Mus musculus: one gene and its partners. The protein of the gene in region 3 purifies or fractionates together with the protein of the main gene of each other region. This does not show direct contact. Links are inferred from orthologs where the notes say so. Each region holds a gene or a part of one and is shown on either strand. Other genes may lie near its edges.

Region 1 (6,330 bases), on a different chromosome or scaffold from region 3:
GGGGGGGAGGTCAGCTCACACACTAGCAAATGAATAGGAATCTGCTGCACAACAAGGCCCTCATGGGGCCAGGCTGTGTAAGGGGTTCACTTGAGGGGTAAAAGGGGGAGTTTATTGACCAAGGAACTAGGAACCCAGTCACTGAGTCCCATGGGTCCACTTCATCTGCTGTCACCTTTTAGAGGTCTTTTCTAAACCTTTGTATTAAACTGGTGTCCCTCTCCTGGGTTCTGACAAAAATTATTCAGTCCTATTTTATTTCACTCATATTTTTTTATTCTTTGAGAGTATCATACAGTGTGTTTTGATCCTATTCACCCGGTCCTCAATTCATCCCAGAGCCACCTCTCTTTTCCATGCACCCAACTTTGAGCCGCCTCCCTCTTATTAACATATCAAGTACAGTTTGTATTATCTATATACTCTTAGATAGGTGGCCTATCACAGGAGCACGGTCGACCTACTCGTCAGCCCTATTTTAATAATCTCTAGATTATACTGATTTCCTCAATAAACTGAGCAACTACTACGTGCCAGGCACTACTCTAAGCAGTTCTTTTCATAAGAGGTTTTTACTTAACATTTATCCGCTGCCAAAGGGAAAGACTCTTTACCTACCGGCAGGGGGCAGAGTTTCCCATTAACCTTAACAAAGAGGTTAGGGGGGAAATAGTCCTCCTGAGGGCAGCTGGTCTCACAGAGACAGAATCTGGCGAGAAAGGACAGATGAGTGGGGTAAGTGGCAGTTTTCTGAGGTGAATCTAGCACTAAAGAAAACTCCAGAAAAAAAGGAAAAAAGAAAATCAGTCATAGTTATTTGTAGCCATCAGCATCCAGAAAAGTCTCGGGCCAGAGTGGACTGGGGCTGGGGAGGAGGAGGATGCCCCCCCCCCTTGTCCAGCACCCGCCCTTAATAAGACGCAATTCACCTGAGCTGCACTTGTATGGTGTAATCACACTTGGCTCCTGGCAGAACCTCCCTGCAACAAAGAAGAGCGATGTCAGTTCAGAGGGTGAGCAGAAGCTGTCCAGGGCACAGAGAGGAGACAGGCAAAAGAACGAGACAACACAGGACAGAGAGGACAGTCCCCAGGGACAAGGCAGAGGATGAGAGATGTACCTGGACGTGAGAATCTGCTGCAGCTGCTGGGGAGTGAGCGCGAAGGTGAAGTGGGCTTCCTCGAACCTCTGGCTGGAGGTGGACGCTGCGAACACAAAGACACAGTTAATCCCAAGCCCGCGCCTGAGAAGCTTCCGGCTTCCATCCCGTAGTGCCGATCCTACAAGGGTAAAACCTAAGAGGAAACACTCCAGCCTGAGCCAGAATCCAGAAAGCCTGAGGGAGCATAGTCAGCCATACCAAGGGTGGTGGGTCGGATGAGCTCCCCATAGACTTCATAGAAGGGCAGTGGCTTCATGGTGACATCGGGGTGCACAGGCTGCGGCAGAGGAGGATGCATGTCCACCTCACGCTTAGGGCCTAGCAAGGTGCCAGGGGTCAGAAGGGTGGGAGGGATGGGAGCAAGGGGGCCGGGGGAGCCTACAGGAGAGGTGCCAGGGGGCAAAGAAAGCAAGGAGAGATCAGAAGGCCCCAGGGTCTTCCGGGGAAAGCGCCTGCGATAAAGTTCTTTGATCTTCATCTGGACGCTGGGGGCGCAGCTAGACTTGAGGAGGTGCAGGGCCTTGGCCAGCAGCTCGTGTTTCCGCCCACTCTTGTTCCTGCCAGCGAAGCCGAGGAGCACCTGGAGCTCAGACACTCGGAAACTCATCACCATGTGCTGCGGGGAAGAGCACAGAAACGATCCGGCTTCAAAAGGGCCTGTCCTGCTGGTGACATGGAAGCTGAGCTACTGGGCGGCAGTGCCGCTCCTCTCGGTCCCCAGTGTTGAAAAGTGCTCTAAAGCTAGTGTACCACCTCTGAGTACCTCTGACCTGACAAGCTGAACCCACAAGCACCACCTAGCCCCCATCCCTACCCCTAATCCAGAGATTCCCTTAAGCTGATTATTGTCTCTCAGGGCTCAGACTCTCAGAGCCCTAGCCTCCTGGGAAAAAGATAGGACACAAGGAAGGAGAGGATTCAGGGCAGACAGCCCATGAGAGAGTGGCCAGGTGACAAGAGGATTGTATCCCACGGCCACCTCCCTATCACCTGATCCATCCTGTTCTCCCCGTGCTTCTGAATTGAAACTTTTTAAAGTCAGGGCTTTAAGCCAGAGTTCAACACTCCATCATCATCATCATCACCACCATCATCATCATCATCCACACCTTTTCATTGCCTACATGCCCATACTCCTTTAGTCTTGTTTACTAGAAGATAGCTACCAAAATGTGTAGGGGAGAAGTCCCCAAGTCTCAGTAATTGGCCAGACTTACTCCATCTGTCAGTGATCGCTAATTTCTCTGCCAGTGAAATGAGCCAATTCAAGCCAAATTAGATTAGATTAAAGGTAAATTTGCCGGGCGTGGTGGCGCACGCCTTTAATCCCAGCACTCGGAAGGCAGAGGTAGGCGGATTTCTGGGTTCCAGGCTAGCCTGGTCTACAAAGTGAGTTCCAGGACAGCCAAGGCTACACAGAGAAACCCTGTCTCGAAAAAAACAAAAAAACAAAAAAAAACAAAAACAAAAAAAAAGTTAAGTTTATTAGGAAGCTGTCCTAAGGGAATCGCCATAGGGTGGAGGAAAGGGGGGGGGAACGCACAAAATGTCTGGATTATATAGGGAAGAACCTTGGGGGAAGGGCAGCCCAGCCCCTGGGCTGGAAAGTTTAGGGTTGAGGCCTTAGAATGCCAGGTAGGGACTGAGGGATGCTGGGAGAACCTGGAGGCCAGGGCTGCTTTGAGATGTAAAATATGCACCTCAGCCCCCTTGTCCTGGGGTCTGAAACCAAACAGTCCAGAACTACCATCTTCCTTCTTTCTCTCATACATGGTATATTCATAGATAGCCACCAGGGTGGGAACCAAGGCAAACTTCTCAACAGAGACCCCAAGAGAATGAGAATGGGGTCTGTGAACCAAAGCACAGAAGTCAGCTCTTAAACGTGGATGGCCCAATGGCTAGAACTCAGGCTTACTCGGGACAAGGATGGGGCGAAGCCAGAAGATGGGGGAATGAAGGTCTAAGGTTCTGTAGGATATCTTCTGGTGTGGTTCCTTGGAGACTGTGTTGTGGTGGGGCAAGATCTCTCTCCTTCTAGGGCTCCCTTCTGTGAATGTCTAGAAGACCTAGTCACGGGTGGACCATTAGCTCTCCCAAGTTCTTTTCCTCCTGGTCTCCTTTTCAGGAATGTGATGAAAACCTTGTCCTTCTCTCTACCTTTCCATCCTTGGCTCCTCCTACTTGTTTTTATTTCTCCACTGGCTCAATAACTTTTTTTCTATCCAGTGGTTCACACTTCTCTACCTCTCCAACCACAGGACCTCATTAGGACAGTTCCTTACTCTAAGCCTCCAGGATGCTCCTGCCTCATCTCTTAAGGTACGCTCCTGTACAGCCCCGCCCCCTTACGTCTCAGCCCCCCTATCGGTACTGCCCAAGGCTCGGATGCCCACAGCAGCCCCAAGCCTAAGCTTCAGGTCCCCGGGAGCTTGATAACATCTGGTCCTCGGGTCCCATCCCTACGGCTCCCCCTCACTGTCACACCTCTTGGCCTGATGGACTCACCCCTACGCCTCTAGAGGAGCTTTCCCTCGCCCGCCTGTACCCTGCAACTACCTACTACTAAAAGCGGCTACGGCCCCGCGTCCCCGCCCCTTGTGCCTCGGCCCTCCGGGGCGACAATTCCCCCCTCCGCCCCACCCCTGCATCTGCCCTGCGGCCCCGCCCCCGGGGCGCCACCGCAGCCCCTTTTCGCGGCCGCTGCCCGCGCATCCCTGTAGCCAGTCCCTGCCACGTCGCCCGCACCCACCCCATCCCGCTGCGCCCAGCCTGGTCGCCTCCCCGCCTCAGCGGGCAGCCGAGCGAGTCCTGCTGGGGCTGGGGGAGGGGGCCGGTACCTTTAACTCGCCCAGCTCCGCCATCTTGAGACATCGCAGGCGCCCCAGCCCGAGCCGGAGCTCAGGCCCAGGGACCGGCGCAAACTCTCCGCCCCAGCGCCGGCCGCAAAGGCCGCCTGCTCCGCCCCGTCCGGCCCCCTACACCTCCCCTTCCCGGCCCCGCCCGCCGGGCTCCGGACCGCCGCCGGCCTCGCCCCTTCTCCTGCAGCCGGATGGCCGGGGCAAGTCTCCCGGCGGCGGGAGACACGGTGGCCCCGCAGGGAGTGTGCAGCCCGGGGATCTCGGGGCCCTGCGGGTAACGACGAGAAGGCGGACCCGAAGGGATGGGCTTTTAGGCAGCCAAGGATACTTGAAAGATGGAGGGAAAGTATCCGGAACTGCCGGAGCTCCGAGGGATGGGGGAGGGGCGGCGAAGTTGGAGCCCCTGTCCCCCGGAGATCTCCGCCGCAAGTTTAGTTAGCGAAATCCCAGAGTCCCGCCAACTCTGAAAGTGATGCTCTCCTGTCCTTTTTGGGGGAAGTTGGGGACTTGCGAACTGTTGGAGACGGCTGTTCCGAATTCTTCACCTCCCCCGAACACAGCAATTACAAGCTTAGGTCCTGCTAGCGCCATACGACTCAAGGCTTGACAGGCAACAAAGTTGGGTGCGGAAAGCAGGACTTACCCGCAGAGTTGCGGGGGTGAGCCCCGGTGCAGAAAGGGCTCGCGCAGCTCCGGCAGTCTGCTGCACGGCTGGAGTTCAGTCGGGCAGCTGGACGCTGCAGCCGCAGCACCGCCCGGGCCTGAGCTCCGCCCGGCCAAGCGTTGCTGCTGGGGCCGCCCCCTCCAGGGTAAGCCCGCCAGGACCTCGGAGAGGGGAGAGGGGCGGAGCCCAGGAGCCGGGCGGGAGTTATTAACTCCTCTGAGCGCTGAGGAGAGAAGAGATTCTGGGCATTCAAAGTTTGAGTAGTCCTTTGATCCCTTGCGGGAGGGAGTGTAGAGCCTGGACTGGGCTGGACTGGGACTATGTGCATTGGGACTCTGGTTGTTTAGAAAGGTTATAGGATGAGATCTCCATCTATCTGGGGGAAAACCTGGGCTACAAATGGAAAATAAGCAGCCCAATCCCTACAGATAACCCTCTATCTCCCAACCTCCAAATATGCTTTCAGTAACTAGGGATCCCACAGTTGGTGAACACAAGGAGATACAGGTACAGAAGACACACTTCTGCCCCTCTTTAAAGTGCCTACTTCCTCCTCCAAAGCTTTGGACCCTCCAAAGGGCCCTGTTTCAACCAAGTTGGTCACTTAACCTGACGATTTGAGTAGTTCATTTCTTTGTTTGTTTGTTTGTTTGTTTGTTTTTCGAGACAGGGTTTCTCTGTGTAGCCCTGGCTGTCCTGGAACTCACTCTGTAGACCAGGCTGGTCTCGAACTCAGAAATCCACCTATCTCTGCCTCCCGAGTGCTGGGATTAAAGGCATGAGCCACCACTGCCTGGCTGAGTAGTTCATTTCTATATCTATAAAGATAGCTACTTTAAGGCACTGTTCCTTATACTAGTTATCGTAAAAACTCCACATTTTATAGTTGTTTGGGGCCTCAGGGATAATGTCATTTGTCCAGTAAATATTTGTAAAGGGGGGAGGTAAATATTAAAGTGGCAATCAGGGATTGCTAGGTGCTGAGGGCTTAAAACCATTCGAAAGCTCAGTCTGGCATCAGAGGCAAGTTGTACAACAAACATGCAAAATAATAAAAAGCTCTAGTAAATACTAGGAATAATCTCATTTAGTTTAAGCCTTCAGTGTAATCCTTTCCATGAGCCCCAACCTAAGCTGCAGGCCATAAAGTGCTAACAATATTTCTAGTGCCTGTTAATTATACTTGACTACTTCCTGGTTTTGTTCCTAGGGAAATAACCACCCTCTCCTAACACTGGGGATTGGGGAAGGGAGTTGTTGCTTGCTGTTTGAAATGATGGGCCCCTCAAGCTAAATTTAGGCTTAAGTACTTGGCCCTAAATCTCATCTGCAGCTCCCCGCATGCTAATCAGGCCCTGGTACTTGTCTGTTCTGGGGATAGAACCTCAGACTTTGTGCACTGGGATGTTGGCACAGCCAGCTGAGCTCATTGCCAACCATATTGTTTTGTTTCTTCTTACACTTGATATTGTTTTTGCCCCAGACATTTTTGTGACTCCAGACCAGTAAATGGGCATATCAAGATAAGTATATGGGGGCTGGAGAGATGGCTTGGTGGTTAAGAGCACCGAGCTCTTTCAGAGGTCCTGAGTTCAAGTCCCAGCAACCACATTGTGTGACTGGTGACTCACAACTATCTGTAC
Region 2 (6,013 bases), on a different chromosome or scaffold from region 3:
GGGTAAAGTCACCAGGTTGTGGGTGGCTGCGTTAGACAGTAAGACGAGAGAATACATTTTGTGAAGGTGCCCGTCCGGAGCAGGCGTGGGGAGGGCTCTGCTTGCCCCTCCTCCTAGCAAGTCTCAGCAGTGACAACCACCCAGTGGGGCTGCAGGCAATCTGGCTGACCTGCCCTGGCAGCCCACCTGTGACAAGGTCCTGGGGAGACCATCCTCACCCCACAATTACCCTTCAGGCTGCTGTCCTCTCCCTGTCTCTCTGCTCTGTCTCCAAGCTTGTGGTCCAGCTGGTCCCTGGCAGCCCGGTGATCTGATCCATGGGGTGTGTCACCCCATCAGTGGCCTCTGCTACAGTGGGCCACACTCATGACAGTCAAAGCCTTTGACCTTTGACCTACTCCTGCTCTTCCTGATCCTGCAGTTATCAGATGGGCCTGGGTTCATATCCCTTCCAGTCTGTACTGCCACTTGACTTGCGGAGGGCTACCTGATCTTGGAGCCAGGAAACGAACTGTCTATGAAGGATGGAGGATTCGGAGTAGGGACAGGGACTACAAACCCACCCCAAACTTGCTGGAGATGGACCTCCAGTGGGAGTGGCACTTCTGTGACTTCCAAGTTACTTATGCTGAGAAATGGATGCCGGCCAGTCTGGCTGCAGAGGTACATTAATGCTTCGAATCCTTGGAAAGATTGAGCCTCCCTCATCTCCCAGGTCCAGCCTAGGCTTGGCTTCTAAGTCTTGGAGCAGTGGAACTGACCAACAGTCACTTGGTGTAGACAGAAGCCACCAAGACACTGGACCATGAGGTTTCACTGACCTTGGCTCCCGGGCCCACCGGGTCAAGTGTCTGTCCATCTGTCTAGGCCTAGAAGGAAGCTGAATGGAAGCCAAGTGTCTGAGGGTCTGTACAGGCTACGAACCACCTTAGCATTGAGCAGGCGGAGAGAGCCTCACCCTGTGACAGTGGGAGACAGGTCACCAGGCTTAACACTCCAAGTTCCCAAAGAGTAAGGGAAGAAAACAGATTCCCTATTCACCAACCAGAGTCGCTGGTCACCCCTAAAAATCCCAGGCTCCCTTAGGCCTTTGGCAAACTGCTCTGTTACCCGTTACCCAGAATCCCTCACAGCAGGGTGCTCATCGGGACCTGAGAGCCACAAGCTATCCAAATCCATAAAGCAAAAGGCACAGTAGTGCCTACCTTCCACGAGGCACGAAGGAGATGCAGGCAGGCAGGCCCAGGGCTTGCAGAACGCTGGCCTCCACACTCACACAGTCAAATGCCAGGAGCCTCCCATCAAAAATAATAACAAGAACAAACGCTTATGTAACAGTTCTGGCGTGCCAGGCACGGCGGGACACAGCACATCCACTACTCCTTGGACACCCTCAACTCTCACTAATGCGGCCCGGCTGCAGCAGAGCTGCCCCGGCAAATCTGAGTGTTGGCCCTGCGTTCAAGTCCTGGCTCAGCCACTCTGAGCGCAGTAAGAGAGGCTCCTAGTCCCCTCTGGGCAGAAAAAATAGTGAGAAAGGGAAAGCAGAGTAGGAAGTGTTCCCTTCACCTTCCTCTCGGCCCAATCTCTCTTCCAGCTACACAGGGACACAGACACCAAACAGGCGTGCGGTCTCCCCCACACCACCAAACACACAGAACTCACCTGCCCTGACCCAGCTGTCTGGACTAGCCTTTCCTACAGAATGTCTAGTCCTCTCAACACAAGTCTGACACTCAAACCAAGCCGAGGGCGGCCCGTCCCAAGCAGGGTTTCTAGCAAGTCCCCCAGCACCCGTGGGTGCTGAGTCACCCTGAATTCCTGACCTGGCACTCTGCCCCCTCTCCTGGGGGGAGGGGCTGACACCCCATCTGCCATGGGAAGAGAAAAGCCCAGATGCGACACCCCCACCCACCGCCACACACAACCCAAAAATAACCCGCAGCCCCCTACACACCAGAAACACAAAAACAAAATCTCGCATAAATCCAAAGTCGGGAGGGAAGAAAAAAAATTTTTTTTCAAAAGCCAACTACTGCCCCCAAAAGGCTTTTAAACATTCTCCAAAAAAGTTTATTAAAATGTCTTCACTTTAATGCTCGAAACGGAAAAGGTTCTCAAAATATACATACGCCTCTTTTCTCATAGAAATAGAACTTTTTTATATAATACAAAAAAAATAATAAGACCAAAAAAAAAAACAAAACAAAACAAAAAACAAAAACAAAACCAAAAACATCAACAACCCCGCAGGAACATCTTTAAGTGATTACTCAGGGCCCGGCTGACAGTTACACGTGTGTTGCGTCAGTCCCGTGTCCACACGCGCTCAGCCACGTTTGATCCGGATTGCATCAAGTCCCGAAACCCGGTGCGCTGTGCAGGTGCGTGCGCGCGGTGCCCGCGGTGTGCCCGCGGTGTCCCCTCGGTGCAGGTGCAGGTGCGCGCAGGGCACGCACGGTGGTCCGGGCGCGCGCGCGGGGCCGGAGCGCGCGGGGCAGGGCGCACGGTGCCCAGGGTGGCCGCGGCGCCCCCCACGCCACCCGCGCCGCGCTAGCAGTGGCCCGCCGAGGCCAGCAGCGGCTCGGGCAGCTGCTTGAACAAGTTCCGCAGGGTGCTGAGCTCTCGCGACAGCTGCTCCACCTTCTTCTGCAGCCGCTCGTTCTCCGCCGTCAGCTCCAGCACCTTGTGCTGCGTCTCCAGGTTGCGCATCTTGGCCTTGTCGCGGCTCTTGCGCACCGCGATGTTGTTGCGCTCGCGCCGCATCTTGTACTCGTCGCTCAGCTTGTCCACCGTCTTCTTGGCCTTGGCCTTGGCGGGCGCGGCCGGCGGCCCCGCGAAGCAGGCGGCGGGCGCGGCCTTGGCGTCGGCGGGGCTCGGCGTGCCGGGCGGGCTGGACGACGACGACGTGGACAGGCTGCCGCTGCTGCCGCTCGGCGTCGCCTGGTAGCCCAGGTAGGCGCGCAGGGCGAACGGGAAACCGGCCGCCATGGCGGGCGCGTCGTCCGCGCGCTTGCAGTCCGCGGGTTCGAAGCCCGGCTCCGCCTTGAGCGCGGCGGGAGGCGGCGGCGGGAAGCAGGCGGGCGGCGCGGCCTTGGCGCCCGCGCGGCCGAGGCTCACGTAACCGTAGTCGGCCGGCTTCTTGCTCGGCTTGGCGCCGTAGTCGTCGGCGAAGAGGTCGGAGAGGAAGTCGTGGTGCGCGGGCGCGGGCGCGGCGAAGTCCGCGGCGGGCGCGAGCGGCTCCAGGTAGGGGCTGAAGTCGATGGCGCGCTCGTGCTCGCCAATGGCCGGCTCGGCGGCGGGGGCGCGCGGCGCGGCGCGGGCCGCCTTGGCCCCGTAGGCCAGGCAGTCGGGCTCGTAGTAGAAGTTGGCCACTTCCATGGGTCTAAAGGCGGCGGGCGGCGGCGGGAGGCATGCTGCGTCCCAGGCCAGCAGGCGGTGCATGAACGCGGGGCCCGCGGGCTCCGCTGCGTCCCGGTCCCGTGCGCGGCTCGGACTCGGCGCGGCGGCGGCCGAGCGGGAGGTTTATAAGGCGGCGCCTGGCAACGGGCTGCGTCACGCTGGGGCCCCTCCCGCCGCCCCGCCACCCGGTCGGTGCGCGTCATTGCCCGGCCACGGGAGCGCGAGAGGGCGCGGCGGGGAGTGGGGCGCGGCGGGGGTCCTCGCGCGGGAGGCTGAGCGGTGACCCGGGCGTCCCGCCAGCCCCGCGATGGCCACGGACGCGGGTGACGCCAGCCCGCCCCCTTCCCGCCCCTCGGGAACACGGAGGAGCGCGGCCGCCGCCCGCCCCCTGCTGGAGGACGCGGTGGCTCGTCCCGGCTCCGGTCCGCTGTCCCGGACCCCCAACTCTTGGGAAACAGATCGTTCCTCCAGCTACACGACCCCAACCCTCGGATCCTGCCCGCTGTCCCCGGGCCCCAATTCCCTGGAAGCAGCCTTCCACGGGGTGCATGTCCTCCCACCCAGGTGCTGCCCACACCTCTGGGACCCCCCCCCCAACTCCTGGGAAGCAGAACTCTCCAGGTGCACGCCCACCCCGGGGATGCTCGCTGTCCTGGATCCCAGCCCTCCACCCTATGTATGGCCCGCCTACCGCACCTGCCTACGCCACTCCCTGCGCCTCTCCATGAAGGTGGCAGGGCTGGGGGTTCTGCCACACTGTGTCTGGGTGAGTCACTTTGCTTCTGAGTTCCCTCCGTGGACAGTGTTGGTATTGTTAGTAGTGGTGTCATCAGAGACAAACGGACCCCCGAGAAGTACGATGCCTTCCTAAGACCTGCACAGCCCTGCCCAGAGGCTTCTCAGGTGATTGCGGTGGGAGCATGGTAGACCCCACTCCAGCCATAAGGACCCAGCGGTCACCCTGCAAGCTGGGGAGGCAACCCCTCCACCCCGTGCACTTGAATGGGCTGGGATCACCAGCCTCTCTCCGGTGAGACCCTTTTGAGGACGCCCAGGGCAACTCTTGGGGCCCACCCTTCTGCCACTCCTAGGTGGGCCACTCAAGCAGGAGCTGCCAACCTGTCAGGGGCTGACCCCCGACCCATTGACCCCAGCCCTGGCCCCGGCAAGCTGGCGGGGTGTTGCTCAACCTTCGGTGTTATCTGCTGAGCTGGGGTGACCTCCGCCCCCAAGAGCTGGAGAAATGACATCTCCCTGTGCCCTTGGGGGTGGGGGGCAGGGAGGGAAAGGGTAAGACGCTAGCCCTGCCTGCCTGCGGCTTTCTGGCCTTCCCAGCAGCCTCTGGGCCAGGAAGGGATCAGGGCCCAGAGAGGCGTGGTGACATCCCCAGGGCCACCCAGCCAGGCCTGGCTGTAAAGTGGGACGTTGGGGCTTCACTAACGGGCCCTCCCTTCTCCAACACTGGTGACTATTCTTCCCTGCCTGTAGGTCGCCATGCACGCACGTATTCTTTCCCTCAGTTTCCCCTCAGACTGGGCTCCAGGAAGGCAGAGAGTGAGCACACTATCTGTTCCCTCAACCCTGCTCCAGGAGCCCAGTCCTGGGTCCCTGGCCCCCAACACTCCTGACCTGAAAGCCCATCTCACCTGGCCTGTCATCCTTCTGTCCCTGCTGCCCACCCCCATGTCAGCCCCTCCAGGGAGGGATCTGTCTATCTATCTGTCTGTCTGTCTGTCTGTCTATCTATCTATCTACTGTGCACCACAACTTGCATGTGAAGGTCAGAACTTGGGGTTCGCTGACTGTCACAGGTCTCTCCTGGCAGATGGGTCCTGGGTATTGAACTCAGGTCTTCAGGCTTGGTAGTAACTACCTTAAACCACTGAGCCATCTCCATGGCCCAACTTCTCTCTTTACTCTCGTTGTTTTGGCTGGGTGTGGCCTTGGGGCAAACTGGCTCTGTGCCTTAGCTTCCTGCCAACATTTCAGGGTTCTGGGGAGACACAGCAAGACCTGGGGAGGGTTATTCAGTACCGCGAGCATCTGCTGTGTGACCTTAGCCGGCCCTCTGCTGTCTCTGAGCCATATTTTATACTCGTTTGATCCCCCTGATAATTTGTGGGAGGTGAGCCATACTGTTTGCGATCACAGGTTAGGAGACCGGGGCTCAGGAGATCTAAGAGTCAGCTCAGGGTCGTCACACTGAAGCAATGGCGGTGGAGAAAGTCTCCCAAGCCTTGGGGTTATAATCAGCTCTAACAGTAAACTTGAGTCTAGAGAAAGGTGACTTGGGTCACACGGGGACTCAAGGGGTGACTCAGGCCCTGGAGACCAGACTCCACCTCATCACAGAGCTTGGCGCTCTGGCCTCCAGATTGGGCTAGCTGGCCCCATGGCAGCCTCCCTGCCAGGCTCACCCACCCACGGCTGACCCAGCTGTCCCACGGGGAGGCCAGAGGATCGTTGTTCTCCCCAGGTTCTTTGCTCAATAGGCCATGCCTGTCACCTCGCTGTGGCTGCCAGCCCTCCCTCAGGGCTCTGAGGCCCCACCAGGCCCGAGCAGCTGGCACAGCCCTATCCAGACCCAGTTCCTTCCCTGCTTCCTGTCCCA
Region 3 (6,330 bases):
AGAATTAGGAGATATGGGGAATATCTGGGAATATCCTGCTGTGAAGATGAATGCTGTGCTCCGTGTGTGTGTGTGTGTGTGTGTGTGTGTGTTCATGTATGCTTGTGTTCTTCTTCCCCACCCCTCCCTAGGTGTATATATAACAGTTTTCACGCTGGAGTGGATCACCCAGGTAATGGGAGACTTAAGTTCAACATTAATGACCCTACATTTGCTTCTTGCTTTGCAACTAGGTATGGAGCTGCGGAAGTAGCTCAGTGATGAAGCATGCGCAGAGTGATCAAAGCTCCGGACTCTATTCTAAACCTTACACACTCATAAAGATGGATCTGAAGTGGTACTCGAGGTCTCGATCTCCAGGCTTTGGACAGGTTTCAGGCATCTCGGAAACCATAAGTAGACATGAGTAAAAGCCTGGGCCGTCTCTCTCCTGGGGCCTAGAATTCATAGTCTCTGTCAGTCTCACAGACTATCTGTGACCCAGGAGAGGTTGAGAGTCATTGATTCTTCTCGCCAGAAATTAATAACGATATCTATCTTTAGGGAAATAGACTGATGGAGGAAGAAGGTGAAGATTTTTATTAAAAAAATTTCAACCTAGCTGGGCAGTGGTGGCACACGTCTTTAATCCCAGCACTTGGGCAGCAAGAGGCAGGTGTGTATCTCTAAGAGTTTGAAGCCAGACTGGTCTTCAAACTGAGTTTCAGGTCAGCCAAAGCTACACAGAGAAACCCTGTCTCGAGAAACAAACAGACATGGCTGGAGAGATGGCTCCGTAGTTAAGAGCACTGCTCTTCCAGAGGTCCTAAGTTCAGTTCCCAGTTACCATATTGTGGCTCACAACCATCTGTAGTGGGCATCTGACGCCCTCTTCTGGTGTGTCTGAAGTATATAGCTACAGTGTACTCATATAAATAAACAAATCTTTAAAAACAGAAAAATCTGCAGCCTTCCACAGGTGTGGGAGGAATGTTTTCAATCTCAGCTCACTCAGGAGATAGAGGCTGGAAAAAAATCTCTGAGATCCTAAGATCCTGTCTCAAGAAAACAGGATACTAGTAAGAAAACAAAAACCTGAAGTTTCCTGAACTGTGTATATTAGCTGTGTTTTAAAATATACCATTGGGGGATTATCTTTGTGGAGAGGTAACAGCCCCTTGTAGATTTTAGATTTTTATCTTTATCTCTCTTTGTGCTAATCACCAGCAATACAAACACCAATAGGTGTACTTGTAAGTCCCTACCATCACATATACATACAAATCACTGCAGTACGCAGAGTTCATTCTCTATGACAGAAAGCCAAGCATATACACGTACCATGAACTGCTGATTCCAACTCAGTAAAATCTGTACTCCCAACATACAAGACGTGAAATAGGTCAGATAATTTCAAGAGCGTCAAGACCCCCCCCAAAAGACTAAATGGATGTTACTCCTAACTCCTGCCACTCTAGTTAAGCAGTAGTGGGAAAGTGTGGAAGAACTGGTTTGTCTCAATTGGACATTTAAGTTTAATGGTGAAAGACTAGTTAATGTTAACAATGAATCCTAAAATCATCAGAATATTTTATGGGCTTTCTCTCTGTGTGTGTTAGCTTCAGTTCTTAAAATTAAGTGCCTAATTAAAAGTGATTTAATTTTGTCTGCACGTTTTTCTGCACAAGGTGTGTGTCTTTGCTGCGGGCAGAGGCCTGAGGAGGGCTTCAGATCCCCCCCCCCCCCCCAGACCCCAGAGTGGAGTTACAAATGGCTAAGAGCCATCTTGTGGGATGCTGGAACTTGAACTTGAATTTTTACCAGGATCAGCCTGGCAGTCCCCTTAACTTAGGCATCCCTCTAGCTCCTAAAATAAGTACCTTTTAATGGAAACAAGTTGGTCAAAACTATCTTTCAGAATTTCAAGACCCAGTATAACAGTTTAAAAAAAAAAGAACTCAGACACACGTGGAAATGGCAAGTACTGTGTATTCGTGTCAGCTGTCATGCATAGGCTCTCTGCATTTCTGTGAGCTGACCAATCAGCCTTGCTGTTGAGATTCAGGTTTGAAATGGTGGAACAGAGAACCGGGTTATAGCCACTATTCTCCCCCACGCAATCTAGTAATTACTCTATTTCCACGTCATATTTCCGGGTGTATGCCCATAATCACGCAGAACTGAAGTTCAGAGCAGCCAGGAGTTGCCCATGTTCTTTTTTGATGTCTCCACAAACCCAAATGCTTAAGTGGGGTGACACCTGGGGACCGCCTAAGTGGCTGATTCCCACGTGGTAAGGAGCTCACAAACTCGCCCCCACGTGGTGCCAAGGGCCGGGAAAAGGGAGAGCGGGCAGAAGCGAGCCGTATCAGGGCATTTAAAGTGTCTTGACGTCACGCACTGCCAGGAACTCAGCTGAGTTTTCAGCAGGACATTCCGCTAATGTCTCCTCCCTCCCCCCGGGCTTTTTTGTAAGCTAGGCCTCTGCGCGTCCCTTGGTCGCGGAGGGAGGAGCACAAAGCTCTCAGAACAGCCAACTCAGGGAGGTGTGCCCAGAGCTCTCGACCCCGCCTTCTCTCCTAGAGGCGTTTTTCATTGGTTAGTGGGCGGGGCTTAGGAAGTACAGCGCTCGCCCGGAGGCCTCAGGGTGGCCTAGCCAGCTGGCCATTCCTTAATTATGCATGGAGGCGTGTCTTGGCCAGTGGCGGCTGGGTGGGGATTGGCTGGAGGGGCTGTAATTCAGCGGTTTCCGGAGCTGCAGTGTAGACAGGGAGGGGGAACCTGGGGTTCCGACGTCGCGGCGGAGGGAACGAGCCCTAACCGGATCGCTGAGGTACAACCCCGCTCGGTGTCGCCTGACCGCGTCGGCTAGGAGAGGCCAGGCGGCCCTCGGGAGCCCAGCAGCTCGCGCCTGGAGTCAGCGCAGGCCGGCCAGTCGGGCCTCAGCCCCGGAGACAGGTGAAGGGGGTGCAGGGTGGGGCCACCTCCCCGACGGCACGGGGGACGGCATGGGGGACCCCACGGTTCGTCAGCTGTGGGGGTGCTTAGAGCTGTGAATGGACACTTACATGGGGCAGGAGGATAGGAGGAGACACACAGGGTCGTCCCGGCGGCACTGACGTCCGGATGACAGGAACCAGCCTGGGAAAGGAAGGGACGCTGTAAGTTTCGAGGGGGAGATGCGGAGAGAGAGTGGGGAGTTCTGGGGGGTGTAGGACCGTGGGGGGGAGGACATTCTAGGCTGAGGGTAACAGAACTGACAGAAGCGGCCCTCCTGTGACTGCTCCCGGAGGCTAGGGACGTTCGGGCCACCAGAGCCACTGCCACTCAGGTGGAGATCATTGGGGTGGAGGCGTTAGAAGGAGCCTCCTTCCTGCCCCTGTGCTGGGCCTGGCCGTTCCTTGCCTAGCCACTTTCTTTGCCTTGCTCCCGTTCCTTCTGTAGTCAGCTGTACCCACTTAGGAGGTGGGAACTGTTGTGTCTCTCCTCCTGCCTCTCCGCCCCTCCCCCTCCCCCTCCCCCCCCCCCCCCAGCCTCTGGGACTGGCTAGATTTTTTTCTTAAGAATCAGATTTCCTATAGAAAATTGACAAACTTGTATCCTTTCTAAATTCTCTCCCATCTCTTTCTGTGTTAAGCTATGATTTCCCCCACCTTGTTAAGAACACTTTTTTTTTTCCCAATTCAAAATAAATCCCTGGCCAAACCAGCTCTAAAGAGCAACAAACCTCTTTCCTCTTTGACATTGTTCTCTCATAAACACCTGGTAAACTCGACGAGACGATAAATAATTGAGCCATTGCATTTACTGGATCGTGGTGTTGCTTAATTGCACAGGCCAGGGTGAGCCAATCAAGAGTGGGAGTTTTCTGTCTCATAGCCAAGCTCTTGTGTAAAAGCAGAAGCTAGGGAAACAAAGACAGGCTGGCCTTGGCTGAGTTCTGTGTGTAAACTTTACCTGTTGGGGGGTGTGTGGCTATAAATTGGTAAGTTGGCAAAATCCAGACTGTTGCTCAAGTCACTTTTTTCATACCTGGTCCACATCCCTCGGTTGTATCAATTGATGTGTGTATGGGTACTGTCAGTGCTTATTCAGTTTCCTTATTCAGAGTGTGTGTAGTTTATACCTGCTGTTTACTACAGTGCTTATTTGTGTATGCATTGTGAATGTTGGGCTGTCAGTGTAGGTGCAGCATGGACGTGAATATATTAAAGCAATAAATCACTTCTATCTTCTTTTTAATGTGGAATTAGACTGTTAGGATTTGAGCCAGCCATTTTTTCTCTTTTTATATTAAATAATGTCTATGTTCCTTGAGGAAACATGTTTGTTTCATTATTGCATGTGCCGGACCAGAACACTAAGCGGGATCTTTTAATTTTTTTTTAGTTTTAGACTTTATTTATCTTTGTTCTATGTGTATGAGTGTTTTGCCTGCATGCACGTCTGTGCCAGTGTGTGCCCAGTGCCCTAGGTGGCCAGAAGAGGACATCAGAGCTTCTGGAACTAGTGACAGATGGTTGTGATCCACCACCTGGGTCCTGGGAATCAAACCTAGGGCTTTTGGGGAGAACCACTGGGAAGAGAATCTGGAATAATAATAATGAAAATGTTGGAGTGTTTGTTCTTAGTGTTAGCACACTCCCCACAAAGAACCATTAGCAGATTCATGAATCTTTTATTTTCATCTGTAGTTCATCGGGACAAATAACCACTTAGAGATAATCCTCAGTTATGAGGCTCTCGATAGGGGCTGAGAGATAGCTAGGTGGCTCACTGAATGCTAACCTCATTTTGTAGATAAGGAAATTGAGGCCAATAGGCCTAGACACTTGCCTTAAGGCATCGTGAGTTACAATGGTTTAACGTCTGCCTTTTACATATTTCTTGGTCCATGCTTAAGTATTCAGTTTCAATTTAGAGTGAGTATGTTCCCTGTTGAGAAGTATCAGAGAAAATCTGAATAATGAAACATTGGCAGCTGAAAGCCAAAGTAACTGTTCTGTGTCTCACCCTCTCTCCTCCCTCTCCCCCCTCTCTCCTTTCCCCTCCCCCTTCCCCCTCTCTCCCTCTCCTGTTAGCATAATTTACTGTCAAACTTCAGCTATTTTTTTAATGGAGATGTTTAGGCAAATTTTAGCTAAAGGGCGGCTGTGACCTCAATGACATTTCAGCCGGAGAGCCTTGTGGTCAGTGGTCGTTTCTGTCTGTAGAAAGTTCCTTTTTCTTTTGTCTTGACATCCAAATGTGAGAAGGGCGCGGAGGTAGTGAGCACCTTCCTTGATGCCCAAGCCCAGAAGCCTTTTAGCTGATGTTTTCTAAGAGATGGTGATGGTGTACAGCTCAGAGAATACTTAACCTCTCTGACATTGTGAAAAGTGCTAGGGAGAGTGACATCTTGTGTGTAGATTTGCAGGCTGTTGGAGCAACTTGATAAATGCTTTATTGTCTAATACAACACGTTGATGTCATTAAGGAGAGCAAGGCATTATTACTTACACCTGTGCCTTCTGTCCCTCCCTGCTCTCTTCTTTCCCTCAGTTTCCCTCCCTTTTACTCTCCTTTTCTCCCTTTCTGGGGACGAAACCTAGGTTGCTAACAAGCACTCTACCACGGAACACATTTTATGTCATTCGGATTTTAAAGTTCTAGCCAAATAAAAAAACCAAAAAACTCATCTAAAGAGTGCTTGAAGGATAGCCCTAAATCTTGAAGGACTCCTGGTGCTGTGGACCGGCCTCAGTGAGATGGTGGAGGATGGCATTGGCTTGCTGTCTTTGATGGTGAAAAGAATGTTTGGCTTGCTCTGGTGCAGATAGTTGGGATTACCAGATTGTATTTGGTGGCAAATTCTTGGAAATAATTTGTTTAAAGGAGTAACATTTGGAAGAATGAATTTCTACTATGGTTCTCATTTTTTTATGTTATGTTTGCTATAACTTTATTCAGCTAACATACACACACACATACACACACACACACACACACACACACACGCATGCACACATGCTAGACGGATGAATGGTGCTGGCGGCACATGCCCTTAATTCCAGCACTTGGAAGGCAGCAGCAGTGGATCTCTAAGAATTAAGGGCCAGCTGGTCTACAAATTGAGTTCCAGGCCAGCTAAGACCCTGGCTTAAGATGAACAGGAACAAAACACTAAGCAGAAGCTGGCCATGGATGTTTCATGTCTGCAGTTTTAGCATGTGGCTAGCCAAGAACTGAGGCCAAAAAAAAAAAAAAAAAAAAAAAAAAGTGAGTTTGAAGCTAGCCTGGGTTACCTAGTGAATTCCAAGTCTGCTTTGAGTAGCTAATAAGACCCTGTCTCAAAAAAGGCTAGGCAGGTCT

The links.
Region 1: the proteins of Stat3 (region 3) and Pias3 purify together in Homo sapiens (affinity purification with western blotting; 5 studies listed by BioGRID). This does not show direct contact. The link is inferred for Mus musculus from reciprocal best matches to the Homo sapiens genes STAT3 and PIAS3.
Region 2: the proteins of Stat3 (region 3) and Cebpb purify together in Homo sapiens (affinity purification with western blotting; 3 studies listed by BioGRID, with this or other methods). This does not show direct contact. The link is inferred for Mus musculus from reciprocal best matches to the Homo sapiens genes STAT3 and CEBPB.

What each region holds. Positions count from the first base shown.
Region 1 is NC_000069.6:96,694,868-96,701,197, reverse strand, and holds the start of Pias3 (E3 SUMO-protein ligase PIAS3), read right to left. Parts: upstream 4,123-6,330; 5' UTR 4,027-4,122; coding exon 4,003-4,026; intron 3,862-4,002; exon of another isoform or gene 3,081-3,861; intron 1,779-3,080; coding exon 1,361-1,778; intron 1,206-1,360; coding exon 1,121-1,205; intron 981-1,120; coding exon 930-980; intron 710-929; coding exon 619-709; intron 1-618. UniProt on the Homo sapiens protein: Functions as an E3-type small ubiquitin-like modifier (SUMO) ligase, stabilizing the interaction between UBE2I and the substrate, and as a SUMO-tethering factor.
Region 2 is NC_000068.7:167,686,453-167,692,465, reverse strand, and holds Cebpb (CCAAT/enhancer-binding protein beta), read right to left. Parts: upstream 3,552-6,013; 5' UTR 3,445-3,551; coding exon 2,554-3,444; 3' UTR 2,034-2,553; downstream 1-2,033. UniProt on the Homo sapiens protein: Important transcription factor regulating the expression of genes involved in immune and inflammatory responses. Also plays a significant role in adipogenesis, as well as in the gluconeogenic pathway, liver regeneration, and hematopoiesis.
Region 3 is NC_000077.6:100,935,863-100,942,192, reverse strand, and holds the start of Stat3 (signal transducer and activator of transcription 3), read left to right. Parts: upstream 1-2,652; 5' UTR 2,653-2,937; exon of another isoform or gene 2,938-3,120; intron 3,121-3,706; exon of another isoform or gene 3,707-3,855; intron 3,856-6,330. UniProt on the Homo sapiens protein: Signal transducer and transcription activator that mediates cellular responses to interleukins, KITLG/SCF, LEP and other growth factors. Once activated, recruits coactivators, such as NCOA1 or MED1, to the promoter region of the target gene.